2 linked regions of the Arabidopsis thaliana genome follow. The protein of the gene in region 2 interacts with the protein of the main gene of each other region in a pairwise test. Each region holds a gene or a part of one and is shown on either strand. Other genes may lie near its edges.

Region 1 (14,841 bases), on a different chromosome or scaffold from region 2:
GATTTGATTACTTATTAATTATCAAATTAATATTATGATTTCTAATCTTAATTGGGTTGAAGATTTTTTATTTTTTATTTGTCGGGTGGAAGATATTTCTGATAGGTATACAATATTTTTTATGATAAAAAATCTTATCATAAGATATTTAATGAAACGGACGGTCGTAAACGATAAATTCATCTTCATCTGAACCAACTACTAAATCAACGGTTTATTGTACTGCCACGTGATACGTTTGATGACACATGTGTTCCCAATCCGGATCTTCGCCTTTGATATGTGATCCGGTCCACATGAAATTGCCGATTTCGTCTTGGTCTATGCATTCTCATTTTTTCCTAATTTTGTTTTCTGTCCGATTGTGATTGGTACAATGAACCTCTTTACAAAATCCGGATAATCGGTTTGTCAAATTAAACCCTTTTTGTTAACCTATAGTATGCATACCGGTATGGAAATTGCTTTCCGGTTTTTGTATTTGTCGGTTTATTTTGGTTTGTATTATTTTGTCCTTAGTCTACTTCTGGTGCAAATAAATACGGAGGACTTGTGCCAAAGAAAAAGCCTCTCATCTCTAAGGTGAATTTATCTTTAATTATTTTGTCATTAGTCTACTTCTGGTGCAAATAAGTAGTTGTTAATATTCACGACTTTAAAATCAATGCAGGATTCCAAACGTGCTTTCTTTGATTCAGCAGATTGGGCTTTACTCAAGGTAGCTCAGTTTGTGCAATATATCTAACTTTAAATCTTTTACATATGAAAACATTATTGTAATTGTTTTTATTATATATTTTGATATTCTACAGCAAGAAGCAAGTATAGATCAGAGAACAATAGCGGCAATAGAAAAACTAAGACCCAAATTGCAGGTAATGTTTTAAATCTACTTAGACCAGTAATTACATATAATTAGTACTCTTAATTATTTCACCTAAGTTTTGGTTCATTTGGTGCTAATTTCAGAGAACGCCTCGCAAGCAACTTTCTCCTAGGAGACCCACATGTGCGACGGGAAATGAGAATCTGGTAAGAAAATAGGTTTTTATTATAATTATTACTATTTTGTTCTTATTCTTTTCTTTGTTTTCTTTCTATTTTGTATTTTCATAGTATATGTACATGCAATTTAGTATTTTAAACATGTATTTATAAAAAAAATTGTTATACTTTTTGCAGACAGAGTCGAGCTTTTAGGGTACAATGAAAAGGGTTTGACGTGGAAATGGAACGTGATTGGTTTGGTAGCCTACTCACGTGTTTCATGTTTCCATTAAAAAACTTGTATGCAGTTATTGACAGTTGTTCGGTTATTTTCACTATTGGTTCCTAAAATGCTTGTCGTTTCAATAAGTTGCGCAGACAATTGTTGGTGTGTTCTTTCTTTTTCTTCTTCTCCATTCATAAACCTTGTGGTGTTTAGTTTTTCCTTCAACGAGAAAAAGAAGATTAAAAATCTGGTAAAACTACTTAACATAGGCAAATTGGAGTCAACGATCATGAAATAGTTTATAATTAGATGAGAGGCTAAACAATTGATGTGTAGCATGTACATTAGTTTCATATGTTCAATAATCACTAGTGATTATGCGTTCTTATTTTTACGTTTTGTGGCTGAGTCTATGCTTAGTTAGTAGCTGAAATAATAAAAACAGATTGTTTCACTTTCACCGTGGTGGAGGGTAAATACAGCTTGAATAGAATTATAGAAATATTGTCATTTTCTAGCTAAATATGTGCAACTTCATTACAAGTTCGATTAATATAGGTGAAGCGAGTAAATCAAGATTTAGATGCCTAATATCTGATTTCTTTGCACAATTTTTAGTTACTGAAATTTCCTCCTCCAATATTTCTTAAGTGTCTTGGTTAAGACTTGACAATCACCCTCAAAATCTTATCCACCCTATGTTCCATATGTTTTGAGTTACATTTAACAAGGATTGCTTCAGCTTCTAGTGGTACTAAATTTTACCCTAGAAACACCAATACTTTGGAGTCCATAATGATCACAAATTTTTGTTATAAGTACTAAGTAGCAACAATCATAATTGACTGAAAAACATCTTTGGCATGTTTCATCCATCTTTATTCCACTTGATATAATATTGCAACTCCACACAATTCGATCATCAGCTGGTTGAAACCACTTAATAGTTCCATAAGATATCATTCCACATTGAAAATTTCAAATATACCCCTAAAGTTATAAGAAAATGTCGACATTGCCCAATATGTTTCGACTGATTTTTTTTTAACTTGGTTTGGTAATCATGTCGAAATTGCCAATTGGTTTCTTAATAAACGACGCAGTTTTAATTCTTCTCCGTCTCTTACGTTTTCTCAGCGCCATTGATCCTTCGATCTCAGCAAAACTTTCGCCGGCAAAGTGATTTGAATTCGTGAAGCACTAAATTGTATAATCAGATACGGTGAGATGAAGATTGATCTGAACAAGGTGGCTCGTGAAATCGAAGTGGATAATCGTATTCCTCTCCGTAATTACTACCGCATCGCCGATAATCTCCTCCGACAGGTCTGTTCCCGATATCGCAACGGAGTTTCGATTCAATTTAACTCTAGATGTAGATTCTTAATTCATGTTAAAGCATCTTTAGGATTTGACAAGTTTAGAAACTGGAGAATGTAAACTTGGTATTGATTTTGTTAGGTTTAGGTTATCAATTAAAACAGTGATTGATTTCTGAGAAAGTTACAAAATCAAATGGTAACATGTTTGAACATTGCTCAGGCCAGTATATATCGCGAAGAGAAGAATGTGGTGGATTTGTATATCATGCTTCTTAGATATTCAAGGTAAGGATAAAAGTATCTCTATATGTAGTTTTGAATTTTTGTATGTTCCATGAAAGAGCTACAAGTTTTTTTTTTTTCTGCAGTTTGATTTCTGAAACAATTCCTTTCCATCGAGATTACCAGGCATCGCTTCCACAAGAAAGACTTGGGAGTAGGAAGGTCAGGTATTTCTGTTTTAACCTTCGAATGTTGTTTAGTGTTACTAGACTTAGTAGTGTCCTCAGATTTGGTCTTTTTTTTGTGCTACAGAGGTTGCGTGCTGTAATCAATGAGCTCGAGTCTCTGAAACCGGAATTCAACCAGCTAGTGGATAAGCTGAACAGAGTTGAGGATGAATCCCGTCAGGATGGAAGTGATCTCCCGGTCGTATCATATAGTTCAGATGCTGTTGAGTGGCCTCCTGCTCACAAAGCTTCATACTCCAGACCTGATATTAACAAGGTAAGACTTGGAGTTTGCATTGAGTACATAATCTAGGATTTCTATATAATCATTGCATCTTCAAAATCCATGTGATTTCTTACCAGCAATGCCTTTTCCATTTTTTTTGTCTTCTCTGGATGCAGCCCTTACCGACATCTCAACCATCCTGGACGTATAACAATAATCTGACTTCATCATCAAATCGTACACAGATTGATCAGCAGTTCCAGAAGCTGTGAGTATTCTCCCTTAATATAATTGTCGGTAATTCTGCTTAATAGGAATTCAAACACTATAAGCTCTCTGAGCTTTAGGAACCCTGAGAAATAGGGGTATGCCATCCGATATGTGTCACTGGTTTTCTTGCTTTACATCTACCTGTTTCTGTGATCACCATATATATACGATGTTTGGGTCACTTATTAGTTATTACCAGAAAAACTACCATTCTGATGGACTAAACTGCCAATGCTGCTTGGATTTTCTATTTATGGTATCATGTTTATTGGTTGCGTTTTGTGGAATTCTTCTTTGGTTTTGGGATATTGAAACAAGAAATGAGTCTATGAGACTCAAGTGCTACTCCATATTAATCTGGGATGATCATTGAGACTTTAATTGTGCTCCTGAACCTGCAGATCTTTTGATTTCCTGCCTCCAAACCAAGCAACCTTGTCAAGACATTCATTTCTAGGTCCGAATGGTCTTAAAAGGCAAATGGTTGCACCCAAGTCAGAGATAAAGGTATAGTGCTGATCATTGTTACCTTTCTCACATTTTCTCACTCTTTCTTTTACTCTTGGTCCAATTCAATGTTTAATTATCTTAGATCTGAAGGAACTGAGAAAAATCTTTATTTTGTATGGAATGATAGGTTCAATATCCGAGTAATACAGATTGGGGTTCTGCGGACAATTCAGGGTAAGTACTCATCTTCTGTTACCTTCTAAGCTTTTCCTTAAAGAAGTCATGGCTATTTCAAACTGACTCCATGTATTTCTGCAGTTTAATTGAAGCTGGACCTAGCAGTTCCTCAGCATCACTTAATGGTGATTCTCAAGAAGTCTCAACACTGAACTCTGTGCTCTCCTTAGATGATGGTCGATGGCAGCGTCATTCTGAGGCAGTAAATTCCCAGTTTATTAGCGACGCAACTGAAGACCCGTTTCAGTTTGTCGGTATGAAGCAACCTTCCCCTCCTCCCGTGCTTGCTCAAGTGCATCAAGAGTTAGCCCAAATTTGCCCATCTAAAGTAGCTGATCCTAGACCAGGACCTGCAATTCCTTCCCTAGAAGGAAAAGAGGGCAGCAATTCTTATCAGCATTTGCATGTGGTATGTTCCAGCTGTATCTTCTTTCACTTTTGTGCAGTTTCCACCAATTCCATAGTGTTTGTGAGAGTAAAGTGGAAGGGATATGCATATCAAGTAGAAAATTATCCATGATTAGTCTAATTATTTGGTATGTGTTCAAGAATCAACACATTAAATCATCGAAGTATTGGATTCATGACCATTACAGCTTCTTAAAAGCTTGCTAGAATCGGTTCTGGAAATCTTTCTCTTTCACCTCTTCTTAATCTACTACTAATGTTGTCACCCTTTATTTAAATTTGCTGAAGCCTGTGCGCATAATGGATGATTTCCTAAGGCTAGCTCGGTCAAACACAGAACGGAATTTAGAAACTTGTGGAGTACTTGCTGGTTCTCTGGTGAGTAGATGGAACCTTTGCATTTATAATTTTTGATTCCAATATCATGATCAGCTCGCCATTACTTATATTCTGTCTATTTGCCATGTTTACAGAAAAACAGGGTTTTTCATATCACTACTCTCATAATCCCAAAGCAGGAGTCTACCTCAGATTCTGTATGTTCTTCATTTTTCTTAACCATTTACATCAATAACAATCTTTTTAATTCTCGCTGGTATGCTTCTCACACTTAGGTTCATCATCATTTGGGTAATGTACAGTGCCAAACACTAAACGAGAAGAAATATTCGAGTACAGGACAGACTCTCTCTATTTCCCTTGGGTTGGATTCATGTAAGTTCTCTCACCCGAACTAAAAAATCTTCCATTTCCAGATAATGACTTACCAAAACGTTACTCAGAACAATTGTGAATCCATATATCCACTAGTTGATAAGCTTTATCGATTCGTCTTGCTAATTTACATTTTGGTTTCAGACACACCCTACACAAACTTGCTTCATGTCATCAGTTGATCTACACACACACTACTCGTATCAGGTAACAAACTCCCCTTATCAATATCTCTATGTTAATCACTTATGATGCGATTATAGTAAAACCATCATCTATATCTATTGTCCCAGATAATGCTACCGGAGGCGGTGGCAATCGTAATGGCACCAACAGACGAATCAACACCTCATGGAATATTCCATCTCTCTGATCCATCAGGCGTATCTGTGATCCGAAACTGCCAGCAACGAGGCTTCCACCCACACGAAGAATCAGAAGACGGTAACCCAATCTACGAGCATTGCTCACACGTCTTCCTCAATGCCAAACTCAAATATGAAGTCCTCGATCTCCGCTAAAAGCCAACCTCCATCACCATGTTATTATTTTTCCTGGAGTCTTAACTTTAAAGAGACATTAAAAAGACCTCAGAGATCAGATGTCTCAGCCGTACATATATGTGTATACTTCTTAAAAAAACCTTCTCTTTAAAGTTCCAAACTTGGCTGAGCCGTCTTAAGTAATGATGATTGTGTTTATTTATAACGAGTACACTTTTAAATTCGTATGCACCATTTCACAAAGCCAGATGTTTGATTAAAAAAACATAAGTATTTTTTTCTGACGATTTTTTCATTTAAATTAAAATTCATTATAGTCTGTGGGAAAGACCTGATACCATGAAAGTTGAGGTGAAAATCTGTTATTAGCTTTCATCAGATAAGAACGGAGAGAGAATAACAGATTTTCACCTCCTAGATAATGCTACCAGAGGTACTTGCAATCGTTATGGCTCCAACAGACGAATCTACCCCAATATATGAGCATTGCTCATACGTCTTCCTCAACGTCAAACTCAAATGCGAAGTTCTCTACTCTAAACTTTCTTAAACGAATATAATATACTTTTAAAATTACTTTCACAAAACCAAGTTTTGCCAAAAAAAAAACTGTATTTTATTTTAAATTAAATTTAGTCGGTGCGAAAAGACTAATGAATAAACAAGTCAACTTAAGTAAATTAATGGTCTCTGTATCGAATCTTAAAATTTAGATTTACCAAAATGTTTTTGTAAACCAACGAAATTCAATCTTTCTCTCTGTGCCTTTTTTCCTCTTTTCTCGTTCCCCTCTACTTCATTTAGGGTTTATCATCCTCTACCAATCCGCCGATTCTATACATACACTTTTCATATATATACATACATCGTCTCCACTCTCGTTGGCTCATTTTTCATTCACCGCCACGAAGCAAGAGGAGATTCGTATTAGCCACCATGTCTTTGAGACCTAACGCTAAGACTGAGGTTCGCCGGAACCGCTACAAAGTGGCGGTGGATGCTGAGGAAGGAAGACGGAGGAGAGAGGACAACATGGTCGAGATCCGTAAGAGTAAGCGTGAAGAAAGCTTACAGAAGAAGCGTCGTGAAGGCCTTCAAGCTAATCAGCTACCTCAATTCGCTCCTTCTCCTGTTCCTGCTTCATCAACTGTTGAGAAGAAGGTAATATTACTAGCGATCTGGAACCGTTTCCTAGGATTTGATTGGTTTAGATCGATTCGATTTTGATTTTGGTTTTGGTTTTGGCTAGTTGGAGAGTTTGCCTGCTATGGTTGGTGGTGTTTGGTCAGATGATAGAAGTTTACAGCTTGAAGCGACTACTCAGTTCCGGAAATTGCTTTCTATTGAGCGTAGTCCTCCGATTGAAGAAGTGATTGATGCTGGTGTTGTGCCTCGGTTTGTGGAATTTCTCACTAGAGAGGATTATCCACAGCTTCAGGTTTGGTGGATCGTTATGTATCTGTCATATTTTGCTAGAATTGTCTTCTGATACTAATTACTTGTGTGTGTGTGTGTGATTTCAGTTTGAGGCTGCTTGGGCATTGACAAACATTGCTTCTGGGACTTCAGAGAATACAAAGGTGGTCATTGAACATGGTGCTGTTCCGATTTTTGTTCAACTATTGGCTTCTCAGAGTGATGATGTCCGTGAGCAGGTAAGATATGTGTTTATGGTTTTTTCTCATGACTCAATATACTGTCAATTTTGTTTGTTTTCGGGAACAAGCATGTTCTAAAGCTTGTTTGTTTCTTAATCTTTTCATGTGTAAGGCTGTGTGGGCATTAGGGAATGTTGCTGGTGATTCTCCACGGTGCAGAGATCTTGTCCTTGGTCAAGGAGCTTTGATACCATTACTCTCTCAGTTGAATGAGCATGCTAAACTCTCGATGCTGAGAAATGCTACTTGGACCCTCTCTAATTTCTGCAGGGGCAAGCCACAGCCTCCCTTTGACCAGGTTTGTCTCTCATTCCTATCTTAATCTCTGCCCAAAGATGAAGGAGTTTTTCTTTTTAATTCTTGTGATCTCTTAATAACAGGTCCGTCCAGCACTCCCAGCCCTTGAACGCCTGATTCATTCGACTGATGAGGAAGTGTTAACGGATGCATGTTGGGCTCTCTCTTACCTTTCCGATGGCACAAATGACAAAATCCAATCTGTCATTGAGGCAGGTGTTGTTCCTCGACTCGTCGAGCTTCTCCAGTGAGTTTCAAATCCCATGATTTCACCGTGCTTTTGTATAATGAATGTTATGTGTTAATGAATATTATCAATTTTATTTTGCTGTAGGCATCAATCACCATCTGTGCTTATTCCTGCCCTTCGTAGTATTGGTAACATTGTCACTGGAGATGATCTGCAGACACAGGTATGTTTGTTCTTTTATAGTGTCATTCATTCATATTATTCAGGATACATGGTCCAATACTGATGGGAAGAATGAAATACACTGGCTAGAAAGCTGAATCTGAGTTTGTTGATAATGACATTTAGTTGTCAAAAGTTACTTGTCAAATTCTTCCTAGATGAATCTCTAGAATGGGAACTGTCAATTCTTCCCAGATTTTATTTCCCCCCCTGCATGTTTTTTACCCTAGTTATGCAATACCTAACATTCCTTTTGAATAGTTAGACTAATTTAAGGCAGTATGTATAATACTCTTAAGAATCTCACACATGTACCATTCCTCACTTATTTTGCTTTCTTTTTTGGTTGGTTCTACAGTGTGTAATTAGTCATGGTGCACTTCTTAGCCTTTTGAGCCTTCTGACTCACAATCATAAGAAGAGCATCAAAAAGGAAGCTTGCTGGACAATCTCAAATATCACTGCTGGAAACAGGGACCAGATTCAGGTGAACTTTTGCTAAAGATTGTTGTTTCTGCTCAGCTTATCAGTTTCTCATAAACTAATCACTAATGTTGGAAGACATGTTTCAGAAGCCTTTTTGTTGTTTGAAGAAAGATGTTCTGTGTGTTTATGTTCTCTAATATTGTTGTGGTATTGCAGGCTGTGTGTGAAGCTGGTTTGATTTGCCCTCTTGTCAATCTGCTTCAAAATGCGGAGTTTGATATAAAGAAAGAAGCTGCGTGGGCAATATCAAATGCCACTTCAGGTGGTTCTCCTGACCAAATCAAGTAAGATTATCCGATATAAACTCCATGTTCTGTTGATCTCAACTCCTTTAGAATCTTTGTTGGTTATTTTTCAAACAGTCAATTAAGTTATTCCGTTGTGTGTTTTAGGTACATGGTGGAACAGGGAGTCGTGAAACCACTGTGTGATCTTTTGGTGTGCCCTGATCCAAGGATTATCACTGTGTGTCTGGAAGGATTGGAGAACATTTTGAAAGTTGGGGAAGCTGAAAAGGTCACAGGAAATACCGGGGATGTAAACTTTTATGCACAGCTGATCGATGATGCTGAGGGATTAGAAAAGATTGAGAATCTGCAGAGTCATGACAACAGCGAAATCTATGAGAAGGCAGTGAAGATTCTTGAAACGTACTGGTTGGAAGAGGAAGATGAAACTTTACCACCTGGTGATCCCTCTGCACAAGGCTTCCAGTTTGGAGGAGGTAATGATGCAGCCGTACCACCAGGTGGATTCAACTTCCAGTGAAGGTAAAAAAACCTCACTACTTGGGACTAATTTATCTAAGCATCTAAGGCTAGACTAGCAAACAGAGTAAATCTGCCTGTGTGTCTACCTTGTGTGAATCTGTGAGTCTGGTTTTGCTTCCACAGGAGCTGAACATGACGATTTGAAGAGTCGAAGGAGCTTAAAGAGTTTGGGGGCACTGGTTAAAAAGGGTATGATTAGAGAGTCTGGTCTTCTGTGTAAAAGTCAGATGGGGTGCCTTACTTAGTCTGGCCTGGTCCGGTCAGATCCAGTGGTTGGTGGGTTTGAGTCATGGAATAAGCTTGTTGGGGGGGAGTTGGGTAGGAGTCATCAAGGGATATTTATTTTTGGGAAAGGGTTTATAAGTTTTTAAAGTGTGATCTGATGAGAATGTGTCTCTCTGGGTTTTTGTTACATTTGTACTACACAACACTGCAAAGTCAAACATAAAAAAGTTGGTCAAACTTTATTTGGTCTTATTGGTGACATAAAAGCCCAATTGGTTCGTCTCTTTATTGTTTATAGTAAATGTTTTTTTTTATAATCTATTTTAGTGCGGTCCAAGTCATTTTGGGCTATTGTCTACATATGCACGCGTATCTAGTTTCAACATATTTCCATTAATCGATGTTATTAATGGTTATCGTCAACTTCAAGTAGGGAGGGTTTCAATAATAAAAAAATCCTATGTTTTGTTCAATCCCTGTCGTTTATAAGCGTAGGTATGCCTTGGACCCAAAAGAACTCAAATATTCATAAGTCGATTACACAAATTTAAATAAGATGAAATTGACCAAAAAGAGAGATGTTTTGTAATTTTCATACAAAAAAAGTTGCACTACACGAGCATGTCTTCGATATACCTAATATTATTACATAAATTTTTCGTATTTCATTGTGAAGAATTACACAAAATATCTAAAAGACTGGTAAAAAATGCATGCATATCTCTAAGCCCAATTAGGGAAATCTAACGTGGCAAACAACCACAACGAGTAAATCCAATGTATTTCGTGCGCCAGGTTTTGAATTAAAATTTCAAATTTGGTACCAAAGCAAGCAAGATACCAAAAAACCCCCTTCCACAAGATCTTTGTTACAAGTTGTTGTTGTAAAATGATTTTCCCTCTTCTTTTTTCAGTTTGTGGTTGTTTTATTTTTTGGCGGGTGGTTCTATAGTAATAAAACACCGCGCTCGAGGGTAAAAAAGTAATTAAGAAAGAGAAATCTAGGGTTTATTAGTCCCCGCCTCCTCCTTTATTATAAAAACCCTCTCCGTTTGTTTTATCCGTTATTCTTCTGCGGCGTCTCTCTCTCTTCCTTATCATCATCATCTTCACTCTAAACTTCACAGAGAGCCATTCAAGCAGAAGAAGAGCTCTTTGATCCTTCTCTGCCATTTCCGTTACTCTCCTTTCTTCTGTTTCAGAGTTTTCTATTCTTCTCAATCCTATCTCGCTTCGAAGTGGATCAATGTGAGTTTCCATGATCGTTTTTGATCCTTCTCTTACTTGTAGTTGATGATCACGTTTAATAATTGTCTTTTTCTTTTGTAGATGTCAATGACGGAAGAAACCAAGACGACGAAGCTCGAATCGGCGGGAGATTCGTCCGATGTAGACAACGGGAACTGTAGTAGCAGTGGAAGTGGAGGTGATACGAAGAAGACATGCGTTGATTGCGGAACAAGCAGGACTCCTCTTTGGCGTGGTGGACCTGCTGGCCCTAAAGTAAGGATCATGATCTCTCTCTACCATTTTCTTTTAAACCCTTAAAAATCCAAGCTTTAAGGTCTCATGTGTTAGATCTAGTCAAATAGGTACTTGAATCCACTTAAAATGTAGGTTGATCTTGTGTGCTTAGCTCTGTTGCTAGTGGGTTTTGTCTCATTGATGTGATCATGTGTATACATAGTCTAGGTATGCGAGGTTTGTGTCAATCTGTGGTTGATATTTAAATTTGTTATGTGATCTCTATGTTTTGTTTTGATTCTGTGTTTGAAGCCTTATTACTAATTGATCAGGTTAAGATTATTGTTACACTGTTTTTATGATGCCTTTTTTACTAAGAGATGGTTATGTCTCTTTAATTTTAGATCTGTTTGATGATTGTTCACTATTTGTTCTCTGGTCTGATCATGGATTGACTTTGTTTGCAGTCATTGTGCAATGCGTGTGGTATCAAGAGCAGAAAGAAGAGACAAGCAGCTCTTGGAATTAGACAAGATGATATTAAAATCAAGAGCAAAAGTAATAACAATCTTGGTCTTGAGAGCCGAAATGTCAAGACCGGAAAAGGCGAACCAGTTAATGTTAAGATTGCCAAATGTGAACCGGGAATTGTCAAGATTGCCAAAGGTGAACCAGGAAATGTCAAGAACAAAATCAAGAGAGATCCTGAGAATTCCAGTAGCAGCAATAATAACAAGAAGAACGTGAAAAGGGTTGGTAGATTTTTGGATTTTGGGTTTAAGGTACCGGCGATGAAGAGATCGGCTGTGGAGAAGAAGAGGCTATGGAGGAAACTTGGGGAAGAGGAACGAGCCGCAGTACTTCTCATGGCTCTTTCTTGTGGTTGAGATTTTGTCTCTTAACCCTTTTTTTTTGATGTGTCGTAATGGTTGAGTGAAAGAGATTAGGGAAAATAAGTTAGTGAGGAAATGATGAAGAGAGGATTATTAATCCTACTTATCATATATATTAGTTAATGTAATTTTAGAGGCAAGCTAATGTTATATGCCATCTACTAATTAATTATCGTATGAACTCTGGTTTAGTTGATTAATGATCATTTCTTTGAAGTTGAATGATTTGTAATATGTCTCTATTCTTAATTGTTCGCTTAAAGGTGGCTTAAAATGATCTTTTATTAGTTCCAAAATTGTGAATTTTAAGGATCTTTTTGTCACTACTACTCGCTAGTAACGATTTGTTTGAGTAAACTCTAATGGTCAATCAATTGATAAAGAGTCTTTTATTTTTAAAAACTATTATGAATTAGAAAGGAAACCTAATGTGAATTTTGAAAATTTTGCTCCAAAATAAAGTCCAGCTGTTCATATATTGGATATCTCGACCTCCACGCGATCTTGAAGCGCGTGATCTCAGAACGAGACAGCTATAAACAGCTCATGAGTTTTGGGCTTTTCGTTGATGATTATAATAAAAACAGATTTTTTTTATTACAAAAAAAAAAATAAGAGCCGGTGATGGAGACAATTGGGTCTCTCTTCTCATTTTATTGCGATTCTTTTTTTTCTTTTTTTTCACGTCCTTTTTTTTTACAACAAAAGGTTATAAAACATTTTTCTGGCTTCCAAAATTAAAAGATATTATTCTCTTTATATTTTTAGATATTTATTTATTTAATTGGTAAACTCTAAAACGATTATATATAAATTTCTCTAGCATGTCGTCCTGTCGTCTAAAATATGGAAGGATAATAAGAAAATGGCATTTATAGATTAAATTTTGCGGCTGCAAATTCTATGATAAGGAAGAACCATTTTTGTGTATACACTTGCATGCAAATAGACCCACAAATGTGAACATGCTGAAACACAAGCTAAAAACATTATTTGTATATTGACAAAAAAGAAAAAAAAAACATTATTTGTATCACGTTGGAGATTGATTCTGACTTTGAAATATTAAGTAGCAAAATGACTCCAAAATCTCTTTGGTTAATGTAATGTATCTTTTACATAGAAGAAATAATGAAAAAGAAACTCTCATTTTCGTGTAAAGAAACAGATTAAGAGAGCAGATAAAGATTTAAATATATGTTGCTAATGATTTTAGCAAATAAAATAATAATATTAAAATGTGAATTGGTTTATTTTCCACATAAGTTTGATAGAAGTTCAACTATTAACACTTCATCTCGAAAACACTTTTATCATTGCCTAGTTTTGTGTGTCTCTTTGTTTTAAGTTTTTTAACTGAATTAATTTGATACAAAATGTCCAATAATAGCCATTGGTGATTCAGTCTAGTAACTCAAACTGAAATCTTGGTTGACTCCAAAATAGTAATGGTTTGATCTTTATAGTTTTGTTCGTTTAATTTTGGCTAGTGATTGCAAATTAGCAACAGAGGATGTTTGTTATTCCGTTGCTGATTTAGTAACACATTTCGGTTGATTAACAATAATAAAAGAACACTACATTCTATTGTTTTAATCGCTAATGGCCAAATTTCGTTGTCGGAATATCATGTTACTGGTTTATAACAAACATAATTTGTCGTAAACAAATAATGACGATGGAATCCAAAATTGGAACATCAACTTACATCGGATGCTCGTCGAACGTGTAGGCCCAAAAGCACTTATAGCAGTTTGGGGCTTTTCCAATATCAAAGAAGAAAGTAGGACCCAATATTAGCCTCGAGTAGGTTTATATTCAATACAGTCACTTGTGGCTCATGTCCTCTCTACATCATCTCTTTAATATATACTCATTTTAATAGTGTTATACTATTGGTATACTATATGATTATTAGTATAAAAAAATGATGCTTTTTTTTTGTTTGTCCTTTTAACCAAACTATTGCGTCAACTAGTTTGTTGAGATTGGAATGTAAGTACACAAAAGTAATTAAAACCCAATTTGATTATTTTTCTTATTATTAAAAAAGAGAGTTACATTCATTAACACACAAATTTGTTAAAGATAGAAGTACAAATATATTTCTACTTGTACAAGCAAAAGTAGTAAAAAGAAAAATGGAGAAACAATATTCTCATCGTCTCAATATTTGTAGCGTGAAGATCTCTCATGCATAGTCTTGTCTTCTACCTTCTTATCTGCAAAAAATCTCTGCAAGGATCTGAGGAAATGAACCTGTTTGGTTGATATATTAATAAAGCTACTTCTTCCTTTAATTATCTTCTTTAATTATGTTTTAAACTAGAAGCAACCGAAATAAAGAGAGAAAATTAAAATAAATGAAACTCCGTAAGAGAATCTGATCTTTGCATCGGATCCGGACATAACAGATTGCGGCGGAGGGTTGTAATAGTAAAACGGAAAATATGGAACGATAGGGTTTGGAGGCGGTGTATAAGGGTAGTTTCCTCCACTTTTAGGAGGTGGATAGTAGTAGCCACCACTGGAGGAAGAAGGTGGTGGACGGTAAGAGCCAGATTGAGAAGCAGGAGGGTAGTAGTAGTAAGGACCACCACCACTGGAGCTAGGAGGTGGAGGACAGGCGGTGGTGGTGGGAGATGGAGGAGGAGGAGATGGATTTGACGGTGGAGGAGGAGGAGAAGGGTTTGGTTGACAAGGGTTGTCACAAGAAGTGCACATTGTACAGTCTGCGATCTGAGATGGTGACGTCAGGGTAGTAGTGAATGTGAAGAAGAAGAAGAAGAGAAAAAGATGGAATGTTCTGAAAGTTTCCATTGTCGGATGAATCTGGAGTTTGTG
Region 2 (15,806 bases):
CAGATGTTTCTGTTTTTGGCAATTAGTGGCGGTTGGAGATGGTTTTTAGACAGTACGGATTTGTCTGAAAATTGACAGGCGATTATTGTAGGGTCCAAAACCAAGAGAGGCAAAGTAGTGATCATGTAAAGGAGTGGTTGAAGGAGAAAGATGTTGACGTTACTTCCACAAGAAAGATCTTCCAATGCCTTCTCCTAAGATCCTTTTTTCAATTTAGGATTTTGTATTGATAAATTTCTAACGTAGTGATTATTGATTCGTTGATTATGTGTAATTTGAGTCTCTAACGTGTAGATGAGTTTGTTATATAGCTTTGTTCTAGATTTGATTTCCACTTATTATAAGAGACAAATCAATAGATTGTAAGAGCTCTCCACCTCAAAGAGAGGCTCCGGAGATTTGTAGCTGTAAATTTTGTACAGAGTAAAACTTGTTTTCTTCCAAGTACATACAGTTAAAAAAAACTAGAGTTTGTGGTGTAACATGAATTACAAGAATTGTTGAAACTTGTCTTGGCGATTTACCCACTCTTTGACTAAGCAGTAAAAGAAATCGCAAATATATGAGAACACATAGTAAATGATGATCAATGAATCTGAAAATTTTCTGATTGACCAAATCGAGATAAGGTAAGAGTTTGTGGTTGAATGTTAGGAAATTGTTGTGTCAAACAAATTAGTGTGTGCAATCATGAATGATGGTTTTGTGCTCTAGGGTTTTAACTTTTAATTGACCTAGAAGGATCCGATAGACTATGGAAACAAAAATCTTACTAATAATATTCCGAGTGTATCTTATAAGATAACCTTACATTTGTAGAAGATGTTCTCATACTAATCAATTTTTTTAATATCTTTTATTAGCTTACACAAAATAAATATAATCATTTATTATTTAAAATCGTTTTTAATGTAATAAATACAAATATAAATTTTATTTTAACATAAATAAAAATATATAAAATAAAATATTTACTATTAAGCTATTAATTACGTATTTAGCATGGTAAATCATATATTTTGCGTGGGTTAGAAGTCATCAATAATATACTGTAGATGTTTAACCGATGGGCTGCACTACTTGATATTATATCCAAAACCGATGAAAGATTTACAAATGGACCAAATAGTAATCAGGCCCAATGGGCTAAATCGTATATAGTCTGATATTATGATCTGTCATGCCACGTCATAGGCATGATCCATAACGAATTGATAAAACTCTATGGTTGTCCAAGTTCGAACAAAAATCTGAAACACACTTCCATGGCTTCGCTTCCTGTTCAATTCACGAGGAATCAAATCTCTTCACCGTTTTTCTCTGTAAACCTCCGCCGTGAGCCTAGATCTTTAGTAACAGTACACTGCTCCGGTAAATGTCATCTTTTTTCTCTCTGCTTTAATTGGTTTTTCAAGATCTCTCTGCTACTTCTTCTTGGTTGTACGGTTCTTCGAAATTTCTAAGTATTTTCAAGAATCTTTAGCTTTACCTTCAATGAATTCATCTTTATAGATGGGTTTATGAATATTGTTATGTCAAAATCTTGCTTTTAAAGTGAAGCTAAAGTAGTGTATGTGATCTTGATTTGCATTATGTTCTCAGCAGGAGAAAACAGAGAAAATGGTGAAGGTGTAAAGAAGAGTCTCTTTCCTCTTAAGGAGCTTGGATCTATCGCTTGCGCAGCTCTCTGTGCTTGCACTCTTACAATAGCTTCTCCTGTTATTGCTGCTAACCAGGTCTGTCACATTATATGGCCCTTTCTCTTTTCTATGTTTGTGTCTGAAGATGGCTATGTTTTAGAATTTAAAGAAATGGATAAATGGATTGTTTTTTTCAGAGACTTCCTCCGTTATCAACAGAACCAGACCGGTGTGAAAAAGCATTTGTTGGTAACACGATAGGTCAAGCAAATGGTGTCTATGACAAACCACTGGATCTTAGGTTCTGTGATTACACAAATGATCAAACTAATCTCAAAGGCAAGACTCTCTCTGCAGCCTTGATGGTTGGGGCTAAGTTTGATGGTGCAGATATGACTGAAGTTGTTATGTCAAAAGCTTATGCTGTAGAAGCAAGCTTTAAAGGTATATAGACTTAAATCTTGAAATTTGAAAGCATATGGTAAAATTATGGACCAAAATGTTAATTAATGTTTTAGTGTGAATTCTTTTCTAGGGGTGAATTTCACTAATGCTGTTATCGATCGGGTGAATTTCGGGAAATCGAATCTGAAAGGTGCGGTGTTTAGGAACACGGTATTATCCGGTTCGACATTTGAGGAGGCAAATTTGGAGGATGTGGTCTTTGAGGACACTATCATTGGTTACATAGACCTTCAGAAAATATGTAGGAATGAGTCCATAAACGAAGAAGGAAGACTTGTGTTGGGATGCCGATAGAGAAGAGAGAAGGTTTTGATTTGAATGTATTATATATGTAAGATTTAAGATTTGTTGACACAAAGATGTATGAAACTAAGTAAAGGTTGAAGGATAGGAGTCAAGAGAGTTATGAGAGGTTGTATAATCGATTCTTGTAAATTCTGTAACCAAACAAAAGGCGTTTTCTCTGTTTCTCTTCAATAATTTACATAGACATATTTAAGTGTTAGTATGTGAATTTTATGTATGCTTGTGAAATATGTATAACCATAGTAACTAGTCTTCGCTATAAATATGTAAGAGAAGAGACAATGAATAAAAGCGCATCTGGTGTAGTGGTATCATAGTACCCTCCCACGGTACTGACCAGGGTTCGATTCCCTGGATGCGCAACTGTTTTAATTTTATATTTGTTTTTTCATTTTAGTTTTATATTTTCTTTTTTTAAATCAACCATTGCAATCTTGTTTCATTTGTACTATGTTATTGTAATAGCGACATATAAGGTTTTAGCTATGATAAGCATAAAATCTGTCTTCATTTCTTTTTCGTTTAGTGATCATGCTGATAAAGAGTTTTTTACTATGTGTTTGACTGCATAAGATTGAAATCATCAACTAATGTGAAATATTGTAGAAGACGCATTTATAATAATACTATACAGAACTAAAAATAACCATAACACTTTATTTATTTTCTGATATAACGATTACACAGGATATAATGGCTATATTATATATGTCAATGAAATAAGATGATAATAAATAAGGATTTATTATGTCTTGTTATTAGACACTAATCCTTTCACTAGCGGGTTTCCGAAGGGTATTTTACACTGAGCTCATCCTCAAACAAAAAGAGTCAGAATGGAGGATACATCACATACATATTCATATATGATATATAGATATTAGTGCATGTGCTTATATATATGCTACTATATATATAATGACAGAGATAGTTCTGTGTTGATGATTCAACCCTTGCCTCCGGGCCTTCTCCTTGGGTCGTGTTTAGGGTTGGGTCCTGCGTCGTCGTAGTCCGCTGTCGAGTGGAACATCAACTTCCTATGACCCATCTTCTTCACACCCACCTCCTCACTCTTTTTAATTATAAACACATAAATTCTTGTCAATATTTGGACATTAACAACATTTCTAATGTTGATAAGAACATATATAAACGTAAAGCATCTACATGTATGATGTATACCTTGTAAAGCATGGAACTCTCATGCATCTTCGCACCGTCGAGCTGGATAGAGCCTTCCACTATGGCTAAAAGAAAACACTCTGTTAGCGGAATATACATTGTTCTTTAAGTGACTTATTTATTTCAACCCATACTAGTTAGTTAGATGTGTTTTAATTTTGGAGAAAGAATGGAAAAAGTGTTCACCAATATAATAGTAATTAATAATCAATGGTATTAAGGTAGTTTAAGGCACTAGATTCAACAACGAAGAAAAGACTAATGTTCAACAAGATAATACCAAAAGCTGATCTCGGACTAAGATGGATGTGTTGGGACGCAAGGTTGATAGTCATCCCTTAAAACAAAGTTAAAAGACTATAAATTGAAAAGGATGGAATATATGAATATCAATTATATGTTTACCTAATGATGAAGAGCATATAATGAGAATGAGGAAGAGTAGAGATAGGGGTTCAATCCTAAGAGGCATATTATATGGTTTTTGATGATTACTCTTTGTTCGTTTAGGGGAGAGAATGCAACTAATCAATGGAAAATGAGGACAAAATGGATTTTCATATGAGAAGATGGGGAAGGTTAGTTCCCATTTTATAAACGGTCAAGTTAATGTGGTGGAAACTGTTATGGTCCATGTATAATATTAGTCGTAATGGTGATGATGATGACTATGACAATGATGATGACCATGACTAAGATGGTTGGTTCTGTTTATGACAATGAAAATATGTAAAGCTCTTATCAATATAACTTTTTAAAATAAGAATATCACGTAGATATCGATTTTTTTTATATATCACAAAACAATTATCAAAAAAAGGTGAAAACAGTGGTGAGACTACTAACATCAAAATGGTGATGATAGTAGCAAGAACAAAAATGAGAAGAATAAGAAGTTATTGGGTTAACGCAATGAACCTACAGGCCACAAACCCTAGAAAAGGTTGAAAAAGTCAACTTAACTGTTGATTGTGTTACATCTCCCAAAAAGGAACACTTAACGCTTACCTCTATTTATGCTTGTGGACAAAAATCGTATATTAGCTAGTAACCTCACTTTTTTTCTTAACACACTTTTCCTTATAGCATGACATTGTTCAAATTTCAAATTCTGTATATCGTTTTTATCTTATGATTATGTTAATTAGACCGTACTAGATATACTATAGACAAAAGTCACAAAACTTTAACTACCAAACAAAAAGTTGACGTTTCTTTTAATTAGCCTTTTTTTCTTCTGGCAATCAATTTTTGATGATAGATAAATAGTTTATCTATATTGTTAATTTGCCAGATAGGAAAATGTAATTAGGAATAACAAGTTAAATCTGAGTATAGATTACTAACTGTAAATGTTTGTGAACCAAGTGAAGTGGGAACCATCAAATACTTGAATTAGAGTAAGTTGTGCCCTAAGCCATCCGAAAGGTTATATATGTGGATCAAATCATAATGAAAAAAGGTTTGTTTGATGCAAGAAAAGTGACCTAATTCATTAACTTGAGTGGAAGTTCATCTCTTGACCATATAAATTTTCATTATATCCTTTGAGTTTCATTAAAAAAAGAAAACATTTTTTTTTTATTTTACAATTTTAATCGGTTTGATCTCAAAACACTCTCTATTATACTAGTTCTTATTTCTAAGTGATGTTTCATTTTAGATGATTTTAGTCAAAACCAATATATTTTCTTAAAGGAAAAGTTTCATTCTGGTTACATGATCGATTTTAATCTAAGTTTTAACTTTTAAGCCCATTGTTTTCACCACTTTTTCCCATACAGCTGTAATGTATCATAGGTTCGATGAGTGCAGCACCACGTGTGATCTTAAGTCTACTTATTGACGCAAAATTTTATTGGAAATTGAATTCTGCTAAGATAATTGGGTCCATTATCAAAAGTAAAGATGGAATCATACCAAACTCGTACGTAATTATTGTAAGTTTTCAATGCTGTTAATGAATCAAAACGAAAGCGAAGATTTGTATCAAGGGTACACACTTTTCAAACAAAGACCCTACAAATACCCAAACTTGAACACACTTATTAATCCAATGATTATTTTCAAAACCTTTTAATCCAATTTCTGTTTGAAATTTTGGTTGTTATATTTAAATACACCATGTACAGTTGACATATTAGAACAAAGATCAGTACTAGTAAATTAAAGTTTAAATGTGGAATCAAAACATTTTCCTTGCGGTCAATGTAAATTTTACAGGGATCAAAATAGATAGACTAAGTTCAGTAAACTTCGATCACATAAACCAACATGGTAGGCAACTCCTAGACAGGGGAATAACGTAAGTAATTAGGAAGTCAAAAGATGGTTAGGGCAGATTTTAAAATCCGTGGTACCAAACACTAAATAATTTGATACAAATAAAGAGAAATAGTGGAACTAATCCTTCCATTTCGGCCTTCACAACTTTATAAGAAGTCAACTAGGATTGAGACAGACATAGCGAGTGGCCTGCAAAATGTATCAGAGAAGTGCATCTTTTTAAGTGACCCATTATTATAGTGAGAGACCACTATCCCCCAAAATCTTATTTTACAATTAATAAACATCGTTCCTCATAACATTATGTGTTTTGACCTAAAATCCATAATTCTACTAAATCCCAAAAACTAAAGAACTTTTACCCCCAAAAAGTCACCATATGAATGGTTATACTTATATATATGTGTGTGTGTATTGCACCATAACCCATATATTTTAGATTAGAAGACTTTATAAATCCCCTCTATAGATCCTTTCATATAAAAAAATGGTTTCGCACTTCAACTTTCTTAACTGGTTAATTATTTCCATCTTAAAATGTTTTCTCACAACCTCCAAGTAAATATCTGCAGTTTTCTATAAAAAATAAAATGAAACAGATTCTTTTTCAGCATCTGAATATGATAAAAACTAATATAGACTACACGTACATTAAACCAGCTAAACTGCTTAAGTAGAATCGTTGTACTATCTAAAACATTATTCACTTAACAGTTAACACATGTACGTGCAGCTCTTCTGTCCGAAGACTATGCATGACTTCACAAAAAAAAAAAAAAAAAAGGGAAAGTTCGTGAGTAGGGAAATAATCAATGTGTCGGCAATTATATGTTGCGTTTAAAAGGAGTGATGAATAAGAAACCAATGAGCCACTAAATTAGCAATGTTTTATTGGGCAACAACGTACGTGTCTTAAGTCTTAACTTCTGTTGTCCAATGTCAACTACACAGAAAGACGACGAAACGTACATCTATTAGTCTTTGACAAAAAAAAAACGTACGTCTATTAGTTAAAAAAAAAAGAGAACAAAAACACAATTTCAATACTAACATAGTTTACAACGCGAATAATAAATCACGAGACACCCACAACTAATAATTTCACTACTTTTCTTAAATATTTCCTTCGTTTTAAATTTTTAATATACAATTCATCTCATAAGTGTAGTTTTTTTTTCTGTAGAAGACGGGAGACTAAAAATTATAAGAAAAATTACAAACTTACTTGCCTTAGGCGCACATACCCAATAACATCATCGCTTAAGAGCGTATCAACATTAGAAGGAACAACATCAAAAAATGAAAGCCATCAGGCAATGAGAACGCATAGTTAGATCTATAAATGTAGTTTGAACCAAAGTTCTAGTTTTTATCCATTAAATTAGCTTATATATTAGGTTTTCGTTGTCCTACTAAACGAATTAATTTTCTTAAAAAACATCCGTTTTTTTTTTTTTTTCAGAGTTTTCTTTAATGGCGTTCATCTTCTAAGAAAGTATTTACTAATCATTATTATTTTTAAAAATGTATTGATCCGTAACCTTAAGGTAAAATGTGTTAGATAATAGCTATTGAAAGAAAAATTGGAGTTATTTTTTGTCGCAAGAAGTTCATGCTTTAATCAATAATTATGTTTCTTTTGACTAATAACTTGGATCGTAAGATTTTCTCCTTTTTTTGGCAGTTTCAGCTGACGACGCTCATATATCTTTCGGTGCTATTTCAGTATTGCATTTAAAGACTAAAGGTAAAGTTTAAAGTCGCAAAATAAAGTATTAACGCCGTAATGAAATTATTTGAATATGAAAAAAATCGTCGCGGACGACAAAAATGTTTTTTTTTTTTGTGTGTGTATCAGTGTATGTGATATATGTGGGTGTGCTTGGACAAGTCCTTTGACAATAAAAAAGGCCCACTTCGTATTACCACCATTCTTTTTCAACTCCCAATTTCAATTCAGAGTGGCGTGTCCTATTTCTCTTGGATGTTTAGCCATCATCTATCTTTTATGTGTTTTATTGTCCATTTGAGTGAGATTTAAATGGGTATGTCATCACAATGAAAAAAAAAAAAATACCAACAGAACCAACGTTTCTCTCGCCTAAATCATCAATTCGAAAAAGATATGTCGAATGAATTATGACATTATATATTTAGTTCAAGAGAAAAATTCTCGAGACGTCAGAAACATGGTTTGGGACTAATACATAGAACCGAGAGAAACTAATTTAAACCATAACTTGAATGGTCTAGAATGTTTCAAATACACATGAAAACATTTTTCAAAATATAGGTTCGGTATCAGTTGCATTTGGCGTTTGGAAAACCAAAAAAAAGCAACACATACAATCAAAATTGAGGTTTCCATAAACAGCGTGAATGTGAAATGTTCTTCGATCTCTTAACTTGACTCTTTGGAAGCAGAGTAAGGCAGGACGTTTTCTCCTATTAACATGTGCCCTTTCCCATATAGTTCGAGCCAAATCAAATAATGGATTCTAAACGATTGTAAACAGTTCCATAGTAAAATGAATAGATGTGGACCTCTTTAAGACCCTAAGACATGACACCATATAATAAAAATGTTCCTGTATGTGACATTTGAAACTTGATTGCAAACAAAACACAAGTATATATGCAAAACCCCCTAAACTGCATCATAGCAAAGAGAAGATAGACAGACATGTGAAACTTCTTTATATAAAAATAAAAATGTGAATAATGCTTTTAATCAAACATACAAACCCCCCCAAAAGACAAAATGATGATGCAAAGACTGCAACTAACCAAATAATAAAAGAAAACAAAAGAAAAAATCAAGGGATTGTCCTCTAATAATGCCCCCACTTGATAAAAACCTGAGACCTCTCCCTCCTCAAGGGGTTGAAGAACATATGAGAGAAAAGAAAAAACAAGAATGTATTATGAGATGTTCCATGAAACCTTTTTTTTTTTGGTATAACTTTGTCCCAAAACCCACCAGAAAACGACCATGACTCACTTCCTCCTCTTTCTACTCCCGGGGATTTAACCTTACCCGGGAAACTTTCACCCGTGACTCTTCCAGTTTCATTATTTACCCCAAAACTCATCATTCCCCACATCCACGACTCAACGATTCCCTGACTGACCCCAGTTATGCTGATGATGCAAATGAAACTGATGCTGATGATGCTGATGTGACTCGGATGTTGCAGCTCTACCCCTCCCCCCGACCGACTCAACCCACCCAGAGATGCATGCAGACTTTACTAAAAAGCAAAAGGAATTTTCTTTCTTATAGGCAAAAGAAGAGCCTTCAAACAGATATGGCACGGGTTATGGCATGCTTCGCCCATTCGGCTGCTTCTTTAATTGTGTGGTCTTCAGAAGACAAACATTCGTTTAAGAACTCTTTACTTGACACTGACTGTTGTATCAAACCACCCACATGACTCCCTAGTGTATCTGCTAAATCTCCTAAGACCCCAATCGCTGTCTTCATCACCACCTCGTCCCTGTCCCAAGGCAATTTTACCACAAAATTAAACAACTGCTATGACATAATAGAAATTCAGTTGGGTCGTAACCAAACTTACATGTCTTTCTCCATGTATATACTGTCCAAAAACTGGAGGATATGGGGTGCGAAAGGAATCAGGAGCTGGGTTTTGGCGGAGTTCTTGAAACCTTGAAATATGCCTGAATAAGCCTCAAGGATTCCGTTTCTCAATGAGTTTGTGTACTCCGTCATTTCATCATCAGCTCCAGCCGAGTGAGCAGATAACTCTGCGGCACTCTGAAGCATCGGCATTGAATACCTCCAGTACTTATCAAAATCCTCACCGATAGCAAGTGCTATGTCACCAAAACAGGAGAATATCGGTGGCTTCACTGATCGGTGCAATTGGTTGCTCGACAAATCTTTCAGAAGCTGTGTCATAATCCCATCGCAATAAGGTAAAATCTTGTCCTCCAATGCTCTGCAGACATCCCCAACAACACCAACAGTAACAGCACACACTTGGTATTCTTCAAAGTTTTGAAGACCCATCTCCAAGTACTTATAAAACTCAGGCATGTATTTGGCAAAATTGGGACCTGCTGCATAAGCAAGAGCACCAATGGCAAGCATGGCTTCCTCATGTGCAGTTGCACTTCTACAACCAAACACCCTCAGGAAAAGTCCCATCATTTGGTCTGCATACTCCATGAACTTAGACTTGGTTGGTTCAGATCCTAATTTCTGTATGATGACCTGCAAGCATCCACATAGAAGTCCCTGCAACTCGTTTTGTTTCTCCCTCTCATCCAATGAAAGCTTTTCCCCTTCCAAAGTATTGTGAAGCTCCATCATTATCACTGGTACTAATTGCAGAACCATGGTAGACGTTTCATCAGTTGAACACCTGACAACTTCATTCAATGCCTCATATGCTGCAGTCCGCAAGCGTGATTCAGTTGCATCCTCTCTGTGTGCAACAGCTAAAAGTGACTTAATAATTTCCTGGAAGAAGGGTGTTAACGGAGAACTGGGACCGATATCCTCATAGCCTTGAGCAAGGAAGTACAGAGCCCCACAAGCCTTCTCGGCAACATTAGGCGCATCATTCATGCTCTGGATGAGTACTGTGATTATCTGCTGGCAGTTTGCCTGATTAATAATAGGTGTCTCGATTGTTGAACCATGAAGGAACTCAAATATCCGACCAAGGGTCCATGCGGTTGTGTCTTTCACATGGTTGCTTGGGTCATTTGTTAGAGCATTGAGCATAAATGTTAACGCTGCGTTAACAATTGCCATCAACTTATCGGCAGAAGGGCCTTCCAAAATGGAACCAAAAGCATAAGTTGCAGCTTCTCGCTCTCTCCAATCAGGCTTTGATATTTTCTCTTCAATAAACGGCATGACATGTGGAACAATGTCATCTCCAACTGCCCTAGCAACCAAACCGAGGCATGTCCCACCTGCCATTGCAATATTCCAAGCCCCTTCATCCAAATCTTGATCTTCTTCTTGCTTCAGAAGAGTCTCCAGCAGTAGAGGCACAAGACCAGGGAGAGCCTGCTTAGTAAAATAAAAGCATGGAACATCAGAATCCCCAGCGAACTCACCACCATATTCTTCTAAGATGTCAATCTCTTCGTCACAAATAGAACTCCAGAACTCAATTGCCTGTAGAGCAACAGACTCGTCATCTTCTCTTACAGCCTTAGCTGTGATGTTGAATATATCTTGCATGTAATGCGCCAACTTCTCATAGTATGTGGAAGCGATAGATACCAAACACTCAAAAGCTGCCTGCCTAATTTTCACCTCAGGGGACAGGGTTGCTTCACACACAACTCTCATGATATAATCACGCTCCATGTCGTTGTTGAAATTTGCTTGGGCGAATCCGAGAGCCATGTATAAAGCACGGGTTGCAGCAAGTCTAACATCAGTATTACCTTCAGCAGCATTCATACCCTGAACAACAGCTGTGAGTATCTTATTTACATGCTCCTGTTCAACAACATCAGGTGACACTTCTTCACATAGGTATCCAAGAGTCTCCAAAGTGGCTTGCTTGACATGAGCAGGTAACTGGTGAATATTTGAGAGAAGAGACACTATGAGCTCAGGCCACTGCTTCTGTGGTAACTCAATACCTGCAACCTTAGCAATGACCTGAGATGCAGTCGAACGAACATCAGGCACAGGTGCCGACAGTGTCTTCAACAAGAAAGCTCTGATCTGCGACTTTGTTGACATGTCTAGAGCCAACCATCTCTGAACAAGCTCATACTTCCTGTGTTGTTCCTTAGCATCAAGAGCATTTTTAAGGACTAAACCAGCTAATTTCCTGCTATCTACTGGCTTCTCATCATTCGCAAGCTCTCCAGCAAGCGACAACAAGAAACCCGCAAGGTTTTGCTCCTGAAACTGCTTAAGACTTTCTTCCGCGTGCTTACGTACAGTTCCATCAATCGACTGAGCATTAATGAGCAACTGCGTAACCTCCATTGCCATAGGTTTATCTGCAACAGAAACAAACAGATTCAGCAAAACTGAAAATAAAGAAGAAGTAAGACAGAATCAGTAAATTAAGCCAACAACATGAAGAAACTCGTCAACGATCCAAAAAGCCATAAAGGTGAAAGACTACTAAATCACTATGAATCGAAAAAACCATGTAATAGCAATAAGAGATCAAAGCACGAGCCATTGACGCTTAAAAACACTGTCAGATTCAACTATAACAGCCAGAACAACAGATCCGAGCACGAAATCGAATATAAAACACGAAATCAAACTAGTTACTAAGATGACCAAATCAACAAGTTAATAGAACAAATGAATCTAACTAAAAAATCGAAAAGCAAATCTCAGATTACGAACGAGTTCAAATCATAAAACAGTGAACAAATCGAAACTAAAGTTGGAAATGGATGATTGAACGAATCGAGATCGAATCAGGAAAAAAAAAAAGCGAATTGGGAAGTGATGAATCTGAAGATGGATCTTAGGGAGAAAGTTGAATAGATGAAGTGAAGAAGGGTAACCTAGAATCTCGGCGGCGGCCGATCGGATAAAGCGGAAATCGGGGACTGGAGAGGACAAACCCTAGAAGCCCAGAAGGAAGAGAGAGAGAGAGAGAGAAGAAAAAAATCAGTTCCAGCGAAAAAGGGAAGAGAGAGAGAGAAGAGAAGAGAAGAATCGGATGTGAAGATGGACTTTAAATTTTATTATTAAACTTTTAACCAAATATTTATATAAACAAATAAAAAAACTGTTTTGAACACAAATTATGTAAATCTATTAATTTTGAAATTGTTTTCCAAACTTATATATATTTGTACTCAATTGTATATTTAGGTTTTGTTCAGTGTATCCTAATATTTTTATAAAAACTATATATAGGAAAATATCTTTTAAAATTACCCAATTAAAAAAAAGTTGTATAAATCTTCTAAATATGAAAATTTGTTTCCAATCATAATTGTTTGTTCAGTGTATCTTATTTTTTTCAAATAAAAACATAAATAGAAAAAAATCTGAATTACCCAATATATATATAAAAAGGGAAAATATTTTTCTTTATGATTTTTGCACACTAAAAATATATTTCTGATTAAAGAATTGATATAATCTGGAGTGATTATGTCGTACATCGCGTGTTGGGTGGTCCTTATCTGAACCCCACCTTATATATTCTCATCGTTAATTAATCAACGGTCCGGATTGTTTTACAGCGAGATGCGAAGAAGAAGATTTTTTTTCTTTTCTTATTCCGAAGGTACAATTTGTATCATATTTAAAATACTTATAAATTTTACAAGTAATCAACAAAATTGTTTTACAGGTATGATAATAATGATTCAGATGGCTGAAAAAACATGAAAGGGTCACGAACGAAAGAGAGAAACATTATACTAACAAAAAAAAAACTATTATTGAGTTATGATGATTGATGATGATGATCTCTCTGGGTTCAATATAGTAACCAATAAAAACTAGAGCTACTATATCATATGTAACTTGTGTTGTTGTATGTTAAAACATAAGCTTAAGAGGAAGCAAAGAGGCTCAGAGGAAATGTAAGAAAAACACAAGCATCTAGCTTTGACACACAATTTTAAAGACTTAAAAAACACTAATTGGAATCCTTCTTCTCTCGCATCCAAGACCATTCTGATTCACAGAGATCAAGAGGCGAGTTTCCGTCTTCGTCTTTAATGGTTGTATCAGCTTTCTGCTTCACCAGAAACTCGGCGAGTGCTTCTCTTTCGCACACAACAGCATAGTGTAGAGAGGTTTGGCCTTCATTGTCCTGCACAAAGTTTGTCAGCGACAAAAACATAAAAGTCTGTAATTGAGAGAAAGAATTAGTTTAGGGGGTTTTGGTTATTTATTTACTTTAGCATTCACATCTGCGTTCTTATCAACCAGAGCTTCAGCAACGTTAAGATGGCCACGGTCTATAGCCCAATGCAGTGGTGTTCGACCTTCACTATCTGACATTTCCAAGATGGAGAAACTGTTAAGTTTCCAAACCAGATCCGAACATTCTGTGAAAATGATACAAGACTACTAACCTCTTGCATTTACGGGTATGCCATTTTCTATGCATTTCAATAGATTCTCGACTTCTCCTTCTCTAGCAAAGGCGTGTATGGCGTCAATCTTCCTGGAACATGGAGTAAGAACGCAAGAATGAACAGAGCTTCTACTATGATTTAAACTAACACATGATTCTTTGATCTACCTAAGGTGAGTATTATGATATATACATTCCTTCTCTGATCTAGTCAGCTAGTCATATAGAGAAACTGAGAAAAGAAAACCAAAAGTTCATAGATGAATCTGTAACTAATTGCTTAGGAACCTTACAACTCATTGTCAGATTCCTCTTCGTACACCAATGAGCTAAAAACCGGTCCCATGGGGCCTGCAGCCTCACCACTCCGATTTCTTCGTTTCTAATAGTCCGCAACGAAGCAAACAAGCCAAGAAATAAAGACAGATTTAAGAACGAAAACAGACCATCCATAAACAGTCCAAAGAAATGGGAATAACAGAAGCAGGTAAGAAGACAACTAACCGAGCCACCTTCAACCCAAGCTGGGTAAAGCTGAGTAACAAGGTCGATATACTTCTCCATCGCTTCCTCAGGAGGCATAGCACCCAATTTCTGCCATGCTTGCCTAGAACAAAAAAGATCATAACAAATCTCAGTCGATCAAAATGCATCCCTAAGTTACCAATCAACAAAACAACAAAAGCAAATCCTTTCGGTACTCACACAAAGCAAGATACATCCAGGATGAAGAATAATCAGTACATCACAAGTAAACATGATTAAGTAACAATCTTCACAGTCATAAGATTTGAATCAGATCACTAATCAATACACCAACAAAAGCAATCCTTTCCATACATTAGCAATGAAAGATACGAACTTGGTGAAATCAAAATAATATACATCCATGATCAAGAAACATCAGTACATCACAAGTAAACATGATCAAGCAATCATCTTTCACAGTCCCAAACATTTGAATCAGAGAATCAATAAGAGTGTTAGACAAACCACTTGGCACGAGCAGTCATTTTAAGAGCTGATGGTTGAGGAGCAGTACAAGGTCCTTCAGTAGCAATTTTATACAATCCATAAAGCTGAAGTTGCAACTCATTAGAAACTTTCTGCGAAAGCCTATCCGATGCAGCAGCAGCAACAAAAGCCGTAGCAGCACTAAATGCCTCATCAAGTTCTGTACTTTCGACACCTTCCCAATCATCATCATCTGATTCATCTTCATCACCTCTCAAGCTACCTTGCTCAGCTATAAGAGAATCAGTCTCGCCGCTAATCCCAGTTAAAGTTTCGACCTTTCGCAAGTTCTCATACTCCGATTGAGTCGTGTGGTTACGAGTGAGTGAGAGATTCTCGTCTTTAAAAGCGAGGAGGATAGAGATTAGCTTAGCGAGAAGGTAAGCGAAGATCAAACCAAAGATTATAGACTGTGCAAGCTGATACCAATCAGCCATTTCCCCCAAATCGAATAAGAAAGTAAACCCAATAGAGATTCAAACACAACGAACTCGAAATCTGAGAAAATGAACCCTAAATTTCAAAGAAGGGTCACAATAACGCATCTCCAGAAACAAAAAGGAGCCACCTTTTTGGAACTCTTGTTTTCACCGCTTCACAATTTTCTTTTTCTTTACTTTTTTTTTGTTTTCTCTTTGTGGGCTTGTCTTTTGTTGAAGACCAGAGACAACTGAGGAATTACACGTAGGATTGAATGGTTGCGACGAGAGACAACTGACGAATCCGTTTGTTAATTGGACCGCTTTTCATCTACCAACTGGTTGGGACCGAGAAAAAATGAAGAAATTTGTTGGAGACAAACTACATACCGGTTTTACATACCTCAATCTTCACTGTGTAATTGAAGATCATT

The links.
Region 1: the proteins of AT5G53480 (region 2) and IMPA-2 interact in a two-hybrid assay, tested with the Arabidopsis thaliana proteins (one study listed by BioGRID).

Annotation. Positions count from the first base shown.
Region 1 is NC_003075.7:9,129,022-9,143,862, reverse strand, and holds IMPA-2 (importin alpha), read left to right. Parts: upstream 1-6,447; 5' UTR 6,448-6,728; coding exon 6,729-6,953; intron 6,954-7,041; coding exon 7,042-7,230; intron 7,231-7,315; coding exon 7,316-7,447; intron 7,448-7,562; coding exon 7,563-7,748; intron 7,749-7,830; coding exon 7,831-7,994; intron 7,995-8,081; coding exon 8,082-8,160; intron 8,161-8,517; coding exon 8,518-8,646; intron 8,647-8,801; coding exon 8,802-8,929; intron 8,930-9,037; coding exon 9,038-9,413; 3' UTR 9,414-9,415; exon of another isoform or gene 9,416-9,538; 3' UTR 9,539-10,113; downstream 10,114-14,841. Other genes in the region: AT4G16146 (cAMP-regulated phosphoprotein 19-related protein), read left to right, coding at 520-582, 671-718, 813-875, 970-1,032, 1,183-1,200; AT4G16141 (GATA type zinc finger transcription factor family protein), read left to right, coding at 10,970-11,143, 11,572-11,991; AT4G16140 (proline-rich family protein), read right to left, coding at 14,323-14,841.
Region 2 is NC_003076.8:21,710,081-21,725,886, reverse strand, and holds AT5G53480 (ARM repeat superfamily protein), read right to left. Parts: upstream 12,643-15,806; 5' UTR 12,405-12,642; intron 11,880-12,404; 5' UTR 11,872-11,879; coding exon 9,458-11,871; intron 9,377-9,457; coding exon 9,178-9,376; 3' UTR 8,009-9,177; downstream 1-8,008. Other genes in the region: AT5G53490 (Tetratricopeptide repeat (TPR)-like superfamily protein), read left to right, coding at 1,197-1,371, 1,603-1,736, 1,838-2,084, 2,176-2,399; AT5G53486 (uncharacterized protein), read right to left, coding at 3,358-3,483, 3,594-3,658, 3,874-3,930, 3,999-4,065; ACBP1 (acyl-CoA binding protein 1), read right to left, coding at 13,496-13,672, 13,759-13,856, 13,938-14,029, 14,233-14,321, 14,444-14,546, 14,933-15,390. UniProt on the Arabidopsis thaliana protein: Acts as a negative effector of drought tolerance. Involved in the regulation of stomatal closure and in the abscisic acid (ABA)-mediated pathway that lead to drought tolerance.